Linked DNA regions of Macaca fascicularis. The protein of the gene in region 1 purifies or fractionates together with the protein of each later gene. This does not show direct contact. Links are inferred from orthologs where the notes say so. Each region holds a gene or a part of one and is shown in the gene's direction. Other genes may lie near its edges.

Region 1 (3,648 bases):
GAGGGAGGTGTTAGTGATTTCCCCGATAATAAACAGACCTATAGCACGTGTAAATGTGAAATTGCAAGTCATTCTGGCTTTTCCTCACTGTTGCTTCCTTTTCAGTGAGGGATTATAAACATGAATTCATGTTTATGAATGGTTCCTGCTCTAGGGGAATTCACTGTTAAGAGAAGGGCAGATAAAAACGATCTCTAATACTTTGAGATAAACATCAGGAACATAAGATCCTGCAGGAACATAAGGGAGAGAGTGATTTTCCCAAGGGGTAACAGCATTTTTTAACAGAACTATTCTAGAAGTGTAGAAGGTAGCCATATATTATGAAAAGGGGCCATGGGTTTCTTTTTCTCTCAAACCTAATTCTTAAAAATTGCTTATAACATTTGTGTGGGTACAAAAATAGATTTGGGGGTACATTATTAATGTTTATTTCTAGACATTTGGCTCTTTTTAACACGTAACAATTCTTAAAATTGAGAGTATAATACTAGCATTATCGAAGTAGGAAGATGATGAGCTGATGCAGGCTAGAGGGCAGTAATTGTCAGTGTACTCTTGAAATCAGTAACTAGTCTATATGTGTCACTACTTAGTAGCATGTCTAGGTCAGGTTTTTGGTGTCATAATCTAGTTCAGACAAGCTAAATGTTAGTGTCTCGTGAACTCCACTTTGCCTTGTGATATGTAACAGTGGGTGAATGTAAAGATGTGAGTAGCTACAGCCATAAAAAAGAACGAGATCCCAGCCTTGGCAGCACGGCGAAACCCCCGTCTCTACCAAAATCATACAGGGCGTGGTGGCGCGTGCCTGCAGTCCAGCTACCTGGCAGGCTGGGGTGGGGGTGGGGGGTCACCTGAGCTCAGGGAGGTCAAGGCTAGTGTGAACTGTATTCATGCCACTACACTCCAGCCTGGGTGACAGATTGAGACCCTGTTTCAAAAAAAAAAATAAAAGAACGAAATCATGTCTTTTGTAGCAACATGGATGGAGCTGGAGGCATTCACTTAAGCAATTAACACAGGAACAAAAATCCAAGTACCTCACATTCTTATAAGTGGGAGTTAAACCTTGAATACATATGGACAGAAGGGAACGACAGACACTGAGGCCTAGTTGAGGGGGTGGATGGTGCGGATTGAAAAACTACCTGTCAGTACTATGCTTATCACTTGGATGACAAAATGGTCTGTTCACCAAACCCTCACAACACCCATTTCCCCTGTATTACAGACCTGCACATGTACCCTGAACCTAAAATAACAGTTCGAAAAAAAGTAGATGTGGGGTAGGAAACCCCTGCATCTCTGCAGGGAGATCATTGTGCATTCAGATGCACAATGAACATTTAGAAGCAAACTTTTGAAGGAGTATTTTCAGCTGCCATTTATGCTTCTCACAAATAGAGTTTGAAACAGCTGAGACACTTCTAAATTCAGAAGTTCATATGCTTCTGGAACATCGAAAGCAACAGAATGAGAGTGCAGAGGATGAACAGGAACTCTCAGAAGTCTTCATGAAAACATTAAACTACACAGCCCGTTTCAGTCGTTTCAAAAACAGAGAGACCATTGCCAGTGTTCGTAGGTGAGTGCTGAAAGAAAGTTTTTATTAATCCAAACCGTTGGACAACTGCATGTGGACTGCTGTCCCCTCCCCCTTTCCCAGGTGTCACCTGTGAATTTAAGTAAAATAATGTTGGGCTGGGCATGGCGACTCACACCTATGCTCCTAGCACTTTGGGACATTGAGGCAGCAGATCACTTGAGGCCAGATGTTCAAGACCAGCCTGGTCAACATAGCAAAAACCTGTCTCTACTAAAAATGCAAAAATTAGCTGGGTGTGATGGTATACACCATGAATCCCAGCTACTCAGGAGGCTGAGGTGGGAGAATCGCTTGCACCTGCAGGCCAAGGTTGCAGTGAGCCGAGATTGCGCCACTGAACTCCAGCCTGGGTAACTTAGAAGACCAAAATTTCAGCCAAGTGTGGTGGCTTACACCTATAATCCACACTTTGCGGGGCTGAGGTGGACCAGTCTCTTGAGGCCAGAAGTTCAAGACCAGCATGGGCAACATGGTGAAACTCCTGTCCCTACAAAAAAAATACAAAAATTAGCCAGGTGTAGTGGCAGGTACCTGTGGTCCTAGTTACTTGGGAGGCTGAAGTGGGAGGATCATGTGAGCCCGGGAGGTTAGGCTTTAGTGAACTGTGATTGTACCACTTTACTCCAGTCTGGGAACAGATTCAAATATGACTCTGTCGTATTTTATATAAGTCCAGTATGTGTGATCCAAATGGTACTGTTAGTGGGGAAGTAAGGTTTTTTCGTTATTTTTTTGTAGCGATGGGGAGACTTACTGTGTTGCCTAGGCTGGTCTCAAACTCCTGGCCTCAATTGATCTCCCACCTTAGCCCCCCAAAATGCTGGGATTGGCCGGGTGCGGTGACTCACGCCTGTAATTCCAGCACTTTGGGAGACCGAGATGGGCAGATCACTTGAGGTCAGGAATTCGAGACCAGCCTGACCAAAATGGTGAAATCTCATCTGTACTAAAAATACAAAAATTAGCTGGGCGTGGTAGCGCACACCTGTAGTCCCAGCTACTTGGGAGCCTGAGAAAGGATAATTGCTTGAACCTGGGAGGTGGAGGTAGTAGTGAGCCAAGATCGTGCCACTGCACTCCAGCCTGGGTGGCAGAGTGAGACTCCATCTTAAAAAAAAAAAAGACTCGATCTCAAAAAAAAAAAAAAAAAAGCGCTTGAATTAGAAGTAAGCCACCATGTCCAGCCTATATATATATGTGTATATATATAATTTTTTTTGATAACAGTATTTGTACATATGTGTGAGGTACACGTGATATTTTGTTACTTAGAATGTGTAATGAGTATGTTAGGGTGTTTAGGGTGTTGATCATTTCTATGTATTAGGAACAGTTCAAGTCTTCTCCCCTAGCTATTTTTATTTTCTGTATTTATTCATTTATTTTAGAGACAGGGTCTCACTATGTTGCCCAGGCTGAGACGTCTTGAACTTCTGGACTCGAGTGATCCTCCTGCCTTGGCCTCCTCCCAAAGTGCTAGGGTTACAGGCATGAGCTGCTAAGCCCGACCTCCTCTACCTTTTTTTTGTTTTGTTTCATTTTGTTTTGAGACAGTCTCACTTCATCACTCAGATTGGAGTGGTGCAATCTTGGCTCACTTCTACCTCTGCCTCCCAGGTTAAAGCAGTTCTCATGCCTCAGCCTCCCATGTAGCTGAGACTACAGACATATACCACCACACCCGGCTGATTTTTTTTTTTTTTTTGAGATGGAGTCTAGTTCTGTCACCCAGGCTAGGGTGCAGTGGCGTGATCTTGGCTCACTGCGACCTCTGCCTCCCGGGTTCAAGTGATCTTGCCTCAGCCTCCTGAGTAAGCTGGGTTTACCGGCGCCCACCACTGCACCCAGCTAATTTTTGTATTTTTAGTAGAGATGAGGTTTCACTGTGTTGGCCAGGCCAGGCTGGTGATCTGCCCGCCTCGGCCTCCCAAAGTGCTGGGATTACAGGCATGAGCCACTGAGCCTGGCCAATTTTTGTATTTTTAGTAGAGACGGGGTTTTGCCGTGGTGCTCAGGCTGGTCTAGAACTCCTCACGTCA
Region 2 (4,309 bases), on another chromosome or scaffold:
TCACCAGTGGTATGAAGCCTCTGTGTGCCTAGAACTGAGCTACTGGGTAGATACAGTGTGTGTGGGAAGGGGAGTCTCCAAGGGGAGTCATCCCCAGAAGGGGAAGGTAAGATACTCTTCCAGGATCAGGCTCACCTTTCCCATCCTTGAAGGGGGCTGGGGATGGAAGGTTTTATTTTTTTACCATTTTGGGCATGGTACACACTCTATCAGCAGAAAAGGGAATTAATAGGAGATTATTTGGGTAGACTGATGGCCTTAAAACAAACTGGGTATTATCTTGTTCTGTCAGGGGAGGAGTTGACACTTTCACTAACAGTTCTGAGCAGACGCAACAGCAGGACAGACCAGAAGTGTGACCTAACTCAGGCTGCCTCAGAGAGATGGCTGTCAGACTGTCTCTACTGATGGGACTCTTACTGAGGGGGTCCAGGCATTCAAGGGGTTGAGTTTCCCAGAAAGTTCCCCATCGAAGCTTTAAAAATGTATTCCCTGCAGCCTTATGCTCTTGCAGTTCCAATACAGCATTGGTGTTTAAAGCCAAACTACTTTATAATTGATTTGCCATCATCCAGCTTTATATTTAACACTAATTTAATCTGGTAACAAAGGAAAGGCTCGTTAAAGGACGGCATTCATAAAATGCTTCCAAGCACCTCTGCTTAACTCGAAGGGAAAATAAAAGGGACTGTTTATTTGGTAGGCAGAGGAGAACACCGCCACGAAACGGTTCTCCACTGAGCAACTCCTGCCTTTGTCAATTATACACATTATTTAGTAACTTTTTTGGAGACATGGACCTTCTCAAACTCCCCAGTATGCTTTGAAACTTTGATAAAGAAATGTACAAACAAAACTCTAAGTGTTCTGGAATTAATTTCAGACGCTTCATAGATCCTCGTAAGTACTCACCGTAAGAAAAATTCCCCATTTCTGGTACTCCAATCTCACGCCCTTAGAATTCTCCTAAGACTTATTCCCTTGAACAACTTTCCCTAATACCAAATCAAACCTAGATCCAGCTGGGACGCCAAGCTTGCGCTGTGGTAACGCTCAGAAGGCCTCCTTCATCAGTAAAACAGATGCCTTAATGGAAGTGACGGGCAATCAACGCATGGAAAGGGGCTTGGCTTCCCTCTTTTTTGGGTTTCTCTAGGTTGTCTAGATTGGAAAAAAATACACGCTTCGTCCTGCGGAGTTCGGTACAAACGCAATTGCACATATGCAAAGGCAAACCAGGAGCGCAAGTGCGCGTCCGGGGACCGCGACCGGGAGGGGCGGGGCCGAGCGGGGCGAGAGACGGACCGCTCCTCCCATTCGTCGCCGCCTTAACTCTTTGCTATCCTTCCGCAGAGCTTCCTCTTCTTTCCCTCTGACCTCGGAAAGAAGGGGGCGGGGCCTTCGGGGGCGGAAGTTGCAGTGCATTGTGGGTTCTCCTGGAGCGGTGGAGTTGATCCTGAATGAAAGTGGCGCGCTGCCCCTGACGTTACCCGGATTTGAGCGGCTGGAATTCGGATTACTGCTGCGATTCGGGTGTCTCGGACCCCGGTGCGCACCGGACCACGGGGAGGCGGCTGCAAAGGCGCGGCGAACGTTGGTGAGGGAGGGCAGCTCTGCGCAGCCCCCAAGACATGGCTCACAACAAGATCCCGCCGCGGTGGCTGAACTGTCCCCGGCGCGGCCAGCCGGTGGCAGGTAACCTGGACTGGGGGGTATTCGAATCCCCACACTCCAGCGTGCCCGGGGGTGGGCCGACTGAGGAGCTCAGCTTTTGGTGGTTCTGTGCCCGTTAGTGGTATTTCAGGAGTGGGATATGCTCCATCTGATTACGCTTCGTGGACGAATGTTTGGGAACATGAACGGGAGGGGATGGTCGGCGGATGGGGGGCACTTGTCACTATTCCTGCCAGGCTAACTGTGCGAATGTGAAGGTAGACAGTAGGTTGGTGGCAGGAGGTGAGGATCCAGGAATACAGTGGGCGTACTTTGAGTCTTAGTAGTTTGTGAACCTTTTAGGGTTCAACCTTCCCCTCGAATTAGAAGGGATGAGTGTCAGTCTTGAGATGGAGGAGGATAAGGAGGGAAGGGGCGGTTCCCAGCGGTGAAATGGGGTCACATTGAGACTGGGAATCTGGAGGGTGTTTTTGTTAGTTTTTTGTTTTTATTTTTTTTTGTGAAACAGGGTCTCTCGCTGAGGCTGGCGATCCTCCCACCTCAGCCTCCCAAGTAGCCGGGACTACAGGCTCCTGCCATCGCACCCGGCTACTTTTTTTGTTTATTTAATATATATATACACATTTATAATATATATATTTGAGACATAGTCTCTCTCTGCCGCCCGGGCTGGAATGCAGTGGCGTGATATCGGCTCCCTGCCTTAGCCTTCCAAGTAGGTGGGATTACAGGTGCGTGCCACAACACCTGGCTAATTTTTGTGTTTTTAGTAGAGACGGGGTTTCACCATGTTGGCCAGGCCGGTCTCCAACTCCTGTCCTCAAGTGATCCGCCCGCCTCGGCTTCCCAAAGTGCTGGGATTACAGCCGTGAGCCAGCACGCCCAGCCATAATTTTTTTGTTTATTTCTTGTGGAGACAGTTTCACTATGTTGCCGAGGCTGCTCTTGAACTCGTGGACTCAAGCGATGCTCCCACTTCGGCCTCCCAAAGTGTTGGGATTATAGGCGAGAGCCACCCTGCTTGGTCTGGTTTTTGTTTCTTTAAATCATTTTTCTTGTAGTTTTTTTCATCTTTATTGAGCTTGAATACAATAGGCTTTAAAGTGTACAGTTTGATAAATTTTGACTATATATACACAAATACATCTCTTTCCTAGGAAACAACCATGAAACCATCACCCCTCAAAGTTTCCTCCTGTCCCTTTTTAAATCTCTTCTTTGCCTGGCAACTGCTGATCTGCTTTCTGTAATTATAGTTTGCATTTTCTAGAAATTTTTAAATAATTGGAAACATATAGTGAGTACTCTGCTTGGGGTGGAAGGAAGTGTGTGTGGCTTTTTTCACTAAGCATAATTATTTTGATACTCATCCAGATTATGCATGTATCAATAGTTTATTCCTTTTTTATTGCAGTGTAGTAGTCCATTGTTCTGGGTATACCACAATTTGTTTACCTCTTCATCTATTGATGGTCATTTGGGTTGTTTCCAGTTTTTAGCTATTACAAATAAACCTGCTGTGAACATTTATGTACAATTCTTTGTATGGACATATACTTTCATTCCTTTTGTGTAAATCTCTAGGAGAGGAATGGCTGCATCATATAATAGGTGTATGTTTTAAGAATTTTAAGAAACTGCCAACCTCTTTTCCAAAGCGGTAACACTTGATAGCCCCACCATCAATGTATTATACAGAATAAATTCAAAGGACTTAAAAACTCGCAAAAAATTTGGACACTTCACAAAATAAGATATATGAATAGCCAAAAAGCTATGATGGCGTGGTGGTGTGTGCCTGTAATCCCAGCTACTCGGGAGACTGAGGCAGGGGAATCACTTGAACCCGGGAGGCGGTGGTTGCAGTGAGCCGAGACTGCACCACTGCACTCCAGCCTGGGTGACAGAGTGAAACTCCATCTCAAAAAAAAGTAATTTGTACTTAATCGTGTAATTTATTAGTAAGGGTTCTCTACAGGGACAGAACTAATAGGATATATATATACACACACACACACGTAAAGGGGAGTTTATTAACTATTAACTCACACAATCACAAGGTCCCACAATAGGTTGTCAGCAAACTGAGGAGCAAGGAGAGCCAGTCTGAGTCCCAAAACTGAAGAACTTGGAATCCAGTGTTTGAGGGCAGGAAGCATCCTGTACAGGACAAAGATGTAGGCTGGGAGGCTAGGCCAGTCAAGTCTTTTCACATTTTTTTTCTGCCTGCTTTATATTCTAGCTGTGCTGACAGCTGATTAGATAGTGCCCACCCAGATTAAGGGTGGGTTTGCCTTTCCCAGCCCACTGACTCAAATGTTAATCTCCTTTGGCAACGCCCCCTACACCCAGAATCAATACTTTGCATCCTTCAATTCAATCAAGTTGACACTCAGTATTAACCATCACAGTAATTTCTTTGATATTTTGCATATTGAGGAAAATGTTATGGCAGTTCAAACTTATATGTTGCAAATATTAGGATTCACTTTACTAGTACTAGAAGTTCATAATTTTCCTGAATCAGAAAGAAAATGGTACTAACTACATATAATATGTTCTCCTGTGAAGTCACCTTCTCTAATGAAACCAGACTTGCAATGAGAGAGAGCTCTTGGAGACAGGGCCAAGCTTT

Evidence for each region. The genes of interacting proteins can lie anywhere in the genome.
Region 2: the proteins of POLR2D (region 1) and RNGTT purify together in Homo sapiens (affinity purification with mass spectrometry; 3 studies listed by BioGRID and IntAct, with this or other methods). This does not show direct contact. The link is inferred for Macaca fascicularis from reciprocal best matches to the Homo sapiens genes POLR2D and RNGTT.

The regions. Positions count from the first base shown.
Region 1 is NC_088386.1:3,679,212-3,682,859, forward strand, and holds part of POLR2D (DNA-directed RNA polymerase II subunit RPB4), read left to right. Parts: intron 1-1,407; coding exon 1,408-1,588; intron 1,589-3,648. UniProt on the Homo sapiens protein: Core component of RNA polymerase II (Pol II), a DNA-dependent RNA polymerase which synthesizes mRNA precursors and many functional non-coding RNAs using the four ribonucleoside triphosphates as substrates.
Region 2 is NC_088378.1:86,408,512-86,412,820, forward strand, and holds the start of RNGTT (mRNA-capping enzyme), read left to right. Parts: upstream 1-1,421; 5' UTR 1,422-1,631; coding exon 1,632-1,695; intron 1,696-4,309.